Linked DNA regions of Drosophila melanogaster. The protein of the gene in region 3 interacts with the protein of the main gene of each other region in a pairwise test. Each region holds a gene or a part of one and is shown on either strand. Other genes may lie near its edges.

Region 1 (3,701 bases), 970 kb from region 3:
CTGATGTCGCTTGTCCTCCACGGGCAGAAAGTAGTCATCCTGCGAGATCAGACGCACCTCGCCAATGGTGTACGGCGAGTTCCACAGCGGCGCTCCTCTCAGACCCTTGAAGTAGTCGTGCAGGCTGTGGGCTAGCGTAGTTTTGCCACCACAGGTGACTCCCGAGATACCAATGACCAGCCACTGCGGCATCTTGTCCACGACTGACTATCGCTCTTCCTTGTTTTTCAGTGGAATCGTACGTTCGCGTTCGCACCGAGCAAGATAACCCCCCGGATAACCCCCTTAATCACGTTTCACTCTCAGGCTCCAGATGTGGTAAAAGGAGAACGCGGCGATGCCGCCGAGGAAGATCACCCCGAACACGGTGGGCACAATGAAAGCGTACTTCAGCGGTGGAAAGAACAGCCGAATGGGATTGCCTGTAAAAGTTTGTAAAGTATACTCATGTTCACAAGTGTTTCATTTGATAACAGGCCAGGAAAGAAAATACGTAAGTATATTGTTTTTATGATTACTCTTAATAGCAACAAATTAAAATTGTCACGGAACGGCAAAACTACGATCATGAAATATTTACGTATAAAGTGAAGAGCCAATATCCAGGCGGAAAAACTACCGAAAATAATTAGCTAAGTACACACCCAGATTTGGAACCACATAATACAGTGGTACCACTGGTTAAGCACGTTTTCGTTTTTATCGCTGATTGTACATGCCTAGACTCTACAATAGCTAACTAGTTTGACTGTGCACATATCGGGCGAATACTGTACTCCTATCATCACTAGTCGTCGGTGACCTTGACCCGAGCTTAGAGCATCGTACAGCCGCATTCCAGGTAACCCGTGTTAGGGTGGTCACCTCTGTAAAACACACGGGTTCATCCTCGTACACTGCCAACTATATATAATTGAACATCGTGACCAATTTACGCCGCGGCGTCACTTTAATTACTATACAAAAGCGCGAGATTATTCAATAAAACTTATGTATTAGCGGGTGAATAACGGAAGCCGTGGAAAACTCACCTTCATCGATGAGCATAAACGGGAGGACGGCCACCCAAAAGAAGTAATAGAAGAACACGGCGATTGCAGATATCAAAATGATTTTCCCGAGTTGCGCATTCGAAGCCATAAATAGCTATTCTCGGAAATTCTGGGGTTTCTCTGGCGAGAGAACACGCGACCGGCGATTTGTTTGTAAAACTGCTCATGGGGCGTTCTCCCCGGACGGACTGCTTCACTGTCCACTGATCGTTTACCCGCCGCACGAATCCCTAATGTTTTTTCGTAGCTGCCGATTTACTTTCGTGGCGTAATTGTAAACAAAACAAACAAGTGCGTCAAAAAATTTCCGAATTCAAGGTAGTGGTGGTTCAACCACTCGAACAAGTATCGATAGCTCGAGTAACTGTTTTGCGCAACACCAGCGGATGTTCTTATCGATGTAGGCGAGTCACTTCTGCTTGGGGATAATTTTCAGAATAAGATTTGTATATTATTAGCTTGCTGTAAAACCCCTTGTTTAGATAATGAACAGTTTATTAATATTTCAAATTAAACTATCATCATCGATATTTCAAGTGAAACATGCATCACTATGACAGTGTGACCAGCACTTACTTTCAATACTTTTCAGTGGATAAAACAATATCGATATGTCGATAGTAACTGATACTATCGAACGCTGATAACCCAGCACTAATAGAATTGTAAACAAACAATTTTTAAATTTAAGAATGGTAAAAAATGGGCAATCGAAACGGCAGCCATGGGTGAAGAACCTGTACTCCAACCGGGAATATCCGGACAACTACACGGATGCCAGCTTTCTGAAGGATCTGCGCACGAATCTACATTGTAGAATATACACGTTCGGCGAAGCAATTGCCGGTATTACAGTGCTTAATAATCAGATCTCCTGCATCACCGGCTTCCTAATACTCTACCAACTTATGCTCAGCGACAGCGTGTCGCCCACCACGATCCTGGTACCCAGTTGCGGGATCACAGGCATTGGATACCTGTGCTACCGAGGAAGGAGTCTCAGCTGGGCCCTGCTGGGCGAGGATTCCAAAACCCTGGTCACAGTGGTCCTCTTCGGCTACTTATTCTCACCGATGCTGCACACCCTAACGCAGGCCATCAGCACGGACACCATATACACAATGACCTTCTTTGTCCTTCTGGGCAACCTGATATTTGGACACTATGGATTGGATGTAGCCATGGTCTCTAAGGTAGGCAATATTTACGGCTATTGGTGTTGATTGTATATTGATCTTGACTCCACCTCAGAATCCTATATAATACAAATACTTCTTGTTCCATGTTAAGCGCAGGCCGTCTCGTTGAATGCCGCCATATTTGGAGCAATTTGCTTAGCCTCCCGCCTGCCGACTTCGTATCACGCCTTCGTGCTCCTTGTCGAGGCTGCCGTCTTTTTCGTCCTTTATCCCATAATGACGGAAGCGAATTGGCATGCTGGATTCATGTTGCCTATATTTGCAATATGCTGTATGGCGCTGTACTGTATATCGCGCCCGGTGCTCTATCTCTACGCCTCCACCACCATTTTCATCAACTTTGTCTGCCCGTTCATATTCGTGTGGCAGCAGCAGTACAAGTTCAACATTCACGGGCCCTGGGACGAGGCCATCGTGGAGGAGAACACCGAGGAGAACCTGGATGGGAACTTATAGCGCCAGCTGCGCTTCTCAGAACAGTTGCCGCCACGACTGGGTAGCGGCGACGTCGAGGAGCACTTCACTGATCGCTAAACCATTGCACGCTTATTTTTATAACTTTGTAAACTCATTCCAAGCCATTGATGTTAATCTTTTGTATCATGTTATATCTGTTAGTTTGTAAGTAGCGTTTTAATAAATTATACTTTTTGTGTTTAAAACCATAGCACTTTTAAATTTGTGTAATTTTTAGGGGACTTTCTTTTGGTCCTATGAATGGCTTTTTAAATAAATTGTTATCAACTTAAGGCAAAGGTTTTTCAATTGAAAGATAATGGAGTTAAATTAACAGGGTGAGTTTTTTGGCTTGGTTGTGTTTTACTCAGACTAAAAATAAATTTAGTTAAAGATTATTTATCGTCAGCGACTAAAACCCGTTTCGTAGATAACAATTAAACATTCGCATGAGCATACATTGAATATATTTGACCCTATCTAACGCAAATAAATTGAAGCAATTGCTTTAATAATAGACTATGGAATATGGATGAGTGACATCTGTATTAAGTGCACGCCCTTGGGTTTCCCAGAAGTTCCTAGTCTAACCAGAGATTTAATTATTTTAGTATTCTGCGTTTTACCTATCTATGTAATGCATGCTGTCCTGCAAGCTACTTCCACAGTTTCAGTAAGCATTCTTGAGAGATAAATAATCCAGATTACATCATATAGTATCGCTGTACGCAGCGCTCTATTTTCTGCAATTATTCATCCTATAAATAGAATAACTTAAGCAGTATTTGAAGCATGTTACAATCTGAATAAAAACAAATTATTTTAAAATATCGTTAAATTTTCAATACTTCACAGACTAAGTCAGAGAATTAAGGTGTTAGCTAGTTTTAATTGAGAATATATTTATATGTACTTATTCATATATTTTGTAATGAATAAGAATAGAAGAAAACCTTTTCGAGTACGTCATCAGTTAATATTAACATTTTTAAGG
Region 2 (3,913 bases), on a different chromosome or scaffold from region 3:
TATGTTTACAATATATGATAAATAAAGAAGATTATTAAAAACCGCGGCTGGTTTGACAAACACAAAATAAAAATCGAAGCACAAAAAAAAAAAAACACGACTGTTCGCTTTGAAGTTAGGATATTGATATTTAACTTTCCTCCAATATACACTAGTCCGCATAAGTATTTGGACAAAATAAACGCTGCACATTTGTCAGTGAAACTTTTAAATGGTTTGATATGGTAGTATTGATTATTTTGTATTTTTTTGTGTTTTTAATTAAACTTAAAAAGTTATAAACAACTTAATGAAACATGATAATTTTTTGTTTGGCATTATATTTTGACAAACTCATTTAGTAAATGGTGTTCTGCTTTTGAGCACGTGTTAATCAACAATTGTTTAAATTGAACTTTTTTGGATATTGAACTTTAATAAAAAACAAAAAATTAATTGATAGCCATGGGTAAAAAGGCTAAGTTAAGTTTATTTATTAGATCAATGGTTGCACAGTTTAACGTTGGAATTAAAGTAAAAAACATTGCAAATGAGTTTAATGTGTCGCGACAAGCTGTGTATTATCAAATTAAAAAGTTTAAGAAACATAATGACTTAAACCTAAACAAGAACAGGCCGTTGCAACGCAGTGGAATCTGACCTCCAGCCTTCCGAAAAGTGAACGTAAGGCAATCAGTGAGTGGACATTTCGTCGACGTTTAAAGGAACAGGACACTGCTAATCAGGTATATTTTTAAAAATTAACTAGCTTAAAAGGCTGAAATTTGCAAAGGAATTGGCTTTCTTTATGTCAAAGCAAACGAAGATATTAGTAAGTGGCTAGTCATTAGTAACTTCTAGGAGAACAGGTAAATAATCTGAACTGAGAGTGTTTATTACTCGCGGAGTTATAAGATATTGTGGGCGATTTGTTAGGAAAAAGTTTAGAGTACATGGTTGACCGTGCTTTCCTGCAGGCATATAGGTGTGGTCAAGGGGATACAGTATTTAAAAGTTGTTGCTGTCAACTTTGGATTTTAGCAGGTTACCCCACGAGTTTGCCCGGCGACATCCCCAAGACTGGTGTCGGCAATTTAGGTCACCTCCTACAATATAAGGCACATTTGCGCTGCTTAATTGGCGAATGTCGGACAAAAAGAGTTGATTTTTCTGAGGATTTACTTGACCTCATGGAAAGTAACAAGACTAAATAAATGTCTGAGTGCCAACTATATTAAAAATATTTACGCCAATAGGTAGCAGGAAATGGCGAATACTTGTTTATATACATGTATATTGCAACCCCTCCCCCTCTTTTGACTGTTCGATCGTTTCAATAACAGCTATAGTTGCGTATTTTAACGTGTTGTAAGATGTTTTTAACCAGGTTTCAGAAACTAGGCAAATGTCAACATTATTACTATATAGAAATTGAGAAATTGATAGTCAGAAACGCTTCCTTTTGCCTGTTACATACTTTCAACGAATCTAGTATATCCTTTTTCTTTACGAGTAACGGGTATAAAATGGTTAGAATTCCGTCGTGCAATGCAATGTATTTCTATGTTTTTGAAAAACATTCCAAGCCAAATTATATGCACTCGCGTGATGGCTCTATAAAAATAAAATTTTTCAATGTGAAACACTCAATCAAATCAACAATCTTAGGCATAACTAGAATCTGCAGGATTAATCTTAACTTTGTAGCTTTTATAGTTCCCAAAATTTCGACGTTCATACGGACGGAGAGAGTTACAACAAAGACACTACAATAACAAAATGCGTAACGCCATACGATTTTTTTTTTGGCGTGGCTCTAGAGGTGGCTCCAGGGTCTCTCGAATTTTTGTTCAAGAGCGAGAGAGCGGAAAGCTGTACAGCGAACGTTTCATTTCTACGCATACATTCTAGTTTCTTTGTTTACTACTATGGTGATCTAAACGAAATATAACAATATAAACATTTATTTTAAATGTGGTGGGATAATGCATTACATTATAGGCAAAATAGTGGATATTTTACAATCTCAATGTATGTACTTTTTACAAGGAAGTAAAAGTGAAAGCATAGAAACCATCACAGCACTCGTTTCTTGAAAATCATATCATTATTACTTTGTCTTTTTTTTCAAACAGATTTCGTCTTTACCGAAAAAAATTATTATCGTGTCAGTAAAAATTCTGCAAATGATGCGGCCTTGCTGCTGTTCGTAAAATAGTAATTAACGGGGCAATCAGCATTGCAGCGCCCAGGGGACCGCATTAGAGTCAACTCCTTTAGCAACAGAATGGAGGACACAGATCAGGAAGACCTGCTGGCTTTCGAGCGTCGGCTGGCTGAGGTGGTAAACACTGAGAAACGGAGTTCACTCCGCTGGCGCTTTGTTCTGGGCGCCATCTTCGCCTGCTCGGCGATCAGTGCCTGTCATTGGGTTCGGGATGCCAAGGAAAGCGAGTCGGTGGTTTTCCAAATCCTGTCCAGTCAAAGCGCCTTTGCCTTCTCCCTGGCAACCATATGCCTGCTAATCTTTTATGGATTCAATCACGCCACTAAGCAGGACCCCAGTATCCTGCGTGACACCCAAGAAATGCTGTCTCCGTTCCGCCTTAACATTGATAACCAGGGACGTCTCATCCTACTTCCACGGCAGACAGAGTAGCTGAATATATGTATATCCCCAAAAACACATTTTTATTGACGGCGTTCCAGTGGAATAAATGATCCAGTCAATAAATGATCCAGCTAGTCAAATAAATGATCCTCAAAAATGGAAATGGACTAGGTATTGCACACCATGACAAATTTCGCGAGGTGACTTCTTGAAACTAATTGTTTTTTATTTACTTTTGAAACGTTATAAATTTTATTTCTAGTTAATTAGCGCTTAGACTAGCGACGACAACAATACAAAAAAGTTCGCTGACAATAATGCTTAGCGATCAAGAAGCGAAGAGTGGACTTAAAAACATGCATTGCATAGAAATGACCGAGATAGAGGGCTGTTAGTGCTGCGGCCTTAAATTATAAAAGGCTACAGAATTCGATTTTGCTGTTATGAAATCAAAAGGAGTTGGCTGCTGTCGACACAACAAAAGTGGGCATAAGTATTTAGACAATAAATACATTCAATATATTTGTTTATAACTCATTGTTTACTTAATGGGAAATTGTTTAATAATTTTCGTATATATGTAGAATATACATATACATATATATGTATTTATATGTATATGTATATGTATATATGTAGTAAAATAATCATATGGATTATTTAAATGTCATAAATTTAAAAGAAAAAAATCAACAAAAAAATTATAACAAATTAATAAAAAATATACCCTCTCTTAGCGTCTATCAACTTTTGGAGACGTTTTGGTACAGAGTGTACCAAACTGTGGTTATAATCTATTGAAATATACTTCCATAAGGCTTGAATTTCCAAAATCGTTTCTTCGCGACTCCTAGATATGTTTGCACGCCTTTTCTTTATACATATATGACCAGAGGTTTTCTATTATGTTGAGGTCTGGACCTTGAAATGGCCAACCCAATGTGTTTACGTTAACATTTTTCAGAAACTGCGTAATTAGCTTGGCTGGAGTATATAGGACTCCCCAAAAAATTTATCACCAGAGGGGAATGCATGATGCTGCGCAAATGGGATACATTATGGAAAATCACTAAAGCATTACTGTTTTTTTTGAAATAATTGAAGTGGCCGGTTTGGACCACCCAAATACGCCACTCCCCTTCCCGTAAAGAGAACCCTATACTTATACTTGGGCTGGGACTGATGGATATAGTATGGGAAATGGAGTTTCTTCTATTTCTTTTTGTTGTGTTTTGATTTGAATTTTTTCTTATTTTAAGTTTCGCATACAGCATCATAAATGGCTTAAGTGGTACATATCTTAAATATAAGTACAACAAAATT
Region 3 (3,588 bases):
CACTGGTGTAGATCCGAAGGTAAAGAAGATTCTGGAGCGGGGCTACAAGATCATTGTGTCCAACTACGATGCCCTGTACTTGGATTGCGGCGGAGCTGGCTGGGTGACCGATGGAAACAACTGGTGCTCCCCCTACATTGGCTGGCAGAAGGTGTACGACAATAGTTTGAAATCCATTGCCGGCGACTACGAGCATCATGTATTGGGCGCGGAGGGAGCCATTTGGTCAGAGCAGATCGACGAGCACACACTGGACAACCGCTTCTGGCCCAGGGCCAGTGCCCTGGCCGAACGACTTTGGTCAAATCCTGCCGAAGGTTGGCGCCAGGCGGAGTCACGTCTGCTGCTCCACCGCCAGCGACTGGTGGACAATGGTCTGGGCGCAGAGGCCATGCAGCCGCAGTGGTGCCTGCAAAACGAGCACGAGTGTCCCATTGACGCGTACGATGCACAAGTTTGACCAGCTATTAAACCATTTCTCTTAACGGTCGCTATCCTTGTAGATGTAGTCGGGGCAGCGGGCGGCTTGGGTTGATCGTCCTGTTGCTTCTCACAACGCTCTCTGCCTGAAAATAAAGTACAGCTCAAAGGTGGCCTTACGCAAGTGACTTGTCGTTTATTTTGTTAAATATAAATGAGATTATTGGCCCTGCTCTGCGCCCTTTTCCGATTCAAAGCGGCAGAATGTCGGAAATAGTGAGGGAAATCCGTACAGACTCGACGATTTTTTCGAATATGAACAGTAGCAGAGTTGGACATTTTACGCTTCAATGTGTGGGGTGAGGATTTGCGAGTGATGGTGTCCTCGGCCTCAAGCATAAACTCCTTGGACTCCTGATTATGTACGTAATGAGTCTAGATACTAAAAGCTGCGTTCCCTTGTGCAATAATTTGAATGGAAGCTTTACTCATTCCACTCTTCCTCGTTGCGTCCAAACTTGTAGACCAAACTGGCGAACAGGATGAAGACGTTTTGCATCAGCAGAGCCACGCCAAACCAGCCATCCTTCTTTTCTGAAAAACGATAAGTGGGTGCAATTCAGCTAAGGAATCCTTAAATATCTGTTTATTTCTCACCATTGTTGATGAAGTCGTCGATCATCACCCAGATGGCGGCAATGATGGAGGCAAAACCCATTAGGAAGCCCACAAGCAGCCAGATCTTCGCTATCCTGGCGCCGGACTCCGATGAGTTCTCATCAGAAATCTGCGCACAAACAAAAGAAGTGAGTCACTTGTTAAGCCCAATGATAAGTGTGTGTTACATGTTCTCCCTTCACTGCGTTCACCATGCAGAAGCTGATGGTCCCGAAGATGCCGATGAAGACGTGTCCTGTGGTAATCTGGTGCTTGCCGTCGATGGACATGGCATCGATTAGAACCCACCATCCTGCGAAAAACTAAGGAGAAAAAGTTGCACTGTCAGGCGGGCGGCTCTTTGTTTGCGGGTGTTAGCCTACCAGAAGTCCGGCTATTATGGAGGTGTTCCTGTTCCTGGACGCATCCCCCGTGAAATGCAACGCAATATTGTCCAACACGCCCATTGTTTAGGTTTTAAAACGTAATTAAATTTATTCCACTCTTAAATCTTCTTGTTTTGACGCACAGGGTTGTCTGTCTGCAGGTGAATACAGGGTTTCTTCACTCGCTGTAGCAACCCTGTTTCAGTATTTAGTGTGTTCACACCTGAACTGCAGCAGTAACATATACTTTTTGTGTAACACAAATTAACTCCGTTATAAAAAGAAAGTTGCTGTTAATTAAATATTTTGTGCAATAATTTGTGCAAACATTTAAATGTTTAACTTTAAAATTACTGCTTATGCAGTTTGTTGTTGTTTTTTAGTACGTTAAAGGCACGACGTCTTTTTCAGAAAGTCCAATACGGTCACACACAACTTCACGTTTAACAAAATTTAATTGATTTCCTTATTATTTAACAACCGATCGCAGCGACACGAGTGGGTGCGTGTTGTCAGTTATAGTAAGAGATTGCAAAGGAATCCTAACCAGAATGCTAGTCATAAACTCATGCAGAGCTGCCTCCAGATTGGCGCTACGCAGCCTCAATTTGCGATCGCCGATCGCAACGCGTACTTTCTCGACGGGATTGGCCCTGAAAACGAAAGATGTGTGAGTATCTTCTCCACCCCACGAGCACTACAATGGTAGCTCCACACCGCCAGAGCAGCGTAAACATTGACCAATCTCGCTATTGCAGTGTTAACATAACCTTCGTGCGTGCCAATGGGGACAAGATTAAGACGTCCGGAAAAGTGGGTGACTCCCTGCTGGACGTGGTGGTCAACAACAATGTGGATCTGGATGGTTTCGGGGCCTGTGAGGGCACGCTGACCTGCTCCACCTGCCACCTGATCTTCAAGACCAGCGATTTCGAGAAACTGCCCGACAAACCCGGTGATGAGGAGCTGGACATGCTGGATTTGGCGTACGAACTGACGGACACCTCGCGGCTGGGCTGCCAGATCACCCTGTCCAAGGATATGGAGGGCCTGGAGGTACATGTGCCCTCCACCATCAATGACGCACGTGCCGCGTAGATAGACACCACCACTGTTATCAATTGTTACAAATTTGAGTGCTAATTCGCTTTAGTTCAACCTAGATGTAGTCAATATTTTTGAACGAAATCGTATGTATTGTCCCAGGGACACAAACCTCAGGCGGCTATAATGGATGCGCGCATTAATCCGATTCCAGTTGCGGATTAGCGTCCGCTGTTGTTTTTAAAGTGTTTAAGCTCAAAGGGATTAGATCAATATGTAAATAAGTGTGTTGCAATAAATTTACATGTATTTTCGTACTTCTCTTGGTTTTATTGAAACTGTGGAGGAAAGCATCCAGCGTAGATATCATTTTTAACCAATAATTCATTTGCCTTTTTAATTCTATTGGCAAAACTAGCCGATTTTAAATCGGTCATTCTTGTTTTTTAAATATCTCAGCTAAAAAGTGTTTTTCTGCGTGTATTCATGATCTCGAAGTTGTGCTCGGCAAATAAACAGGCACACGCAAAGATTTTCCTCGGCATCATAGTTCTAATAAAAGTGTGTAGTATACTTTTGAACACAGGTTTATGATCATTAGTTAGCAAATTCAAGATGATCGTATTTTATATTCCTATTTGCCTCGCTTGTATGACAATGCGAACCATATTATTCTTTATTCTATTCATTCGTTTTGCCAAACTTGTTTTGTTTATACCAAAACTTCCAGTCACGGCCAACACAAGGGCTGTTATCAAAGCCCCCCACACAAACATTTCATCACACTGATAAAGTTTGCATTAGCTTTGTTTGCGTTTCCTTATCAGTCGTTCCCAAGCTCCGATAATCAGAGGTACTATTAGAACGCATTAAAACACTTGTCGCTTAATAAAAGTAAACTTTTTATTATTTCGCAGCTATCAAATAAAGTAATAAATAAATAATTTAATATATACATTTGCTATATTAACTTATTGTAAACGATTTTCTGCCTTTCCATGTTTGCCGCTTCATTACTTCGTTTGTGTTTATTTTCTCGATATTATTAACTTGCATATTGTAACATTCGAGGCTAATCTGT

What was found. Proteins that work in one complex are often made in the same cells at the same time.
Region 1: the proteins of CG15012 (region 3) and PIG-C interact in a two-hybrid assay, tested with the Drosophila melanogaster proteins (one large-scale study listed by BioGRID).
Region 2: the proteins of CG15012 (region 3) and Cnep1r1 interact in a two-hybrid assay, tested with the Drosophila melanogaster proteins (one large-scale study listed by BioGRID).

What each region holds. Positions count from the first base shown.
Region 1 is NT_037436.4:3,317,236-3,320,936, reverse strand, and holds PIG-C (phosphatidylinositol glycan anchor biosynthesis class C), read left to right. Parts: upstream 1-1,704; 5' UTR 1,705-1,744; coding exon 1,745-2,245; intron 2,246-2,347; coding exon 2,348-2,707; coding exon of another isoform or gene 2,708-2,785; 3' UTR 2,786-2,909; downstream 2,910-3,701. Other genes in the region: CG12016 (uncharacterized protein), read right to left, coding at 1-192; Dpm2 (Dolichyl-phosphate mannosyltransferase subunit 2), read right to left, coding at 286-422, 1,032-1,140.
Region 2 is NC_004354.4:22,943,219-22,947,131, forward strand, and holds Cnep1r1 (CTD nuclear envelope phosphatase 1 regulatory subunit 1), read left to right. Parts: upstream 1-2,102; 5' UTR 2,103-2,266; coding exon 2,267-2,638; 3' UTR 2,639-2,790; intron 2,791-2,852; 3' UTR 2,853-3,121; downstream 3,122-3,913.
Region 3 is NT_037436.4:4,290,610-4,294,197, forward strand, and holds CG15012 (uncharacterized protein), read right to left. Parts: upstream 1,638-3,588; 5' UTR 1,545-1,637; coding exon 1,461-1,544; intron 1,401-1,460; coding exon 1,266-1,400; intron 1,208-1,265; coding exon 1,078-1,207; intron 1,015-1,077; coding exon 905-1,014; 3' UTR 599-904; downstream 1-598. Other genes in the region: Hexo1 (hexosaminidase 1), read left to right, coding at 1-441, 504-570; Fdx2 (ferredoxin 2), read left to right, coding at 2,015-2,133, 2,222-2,561.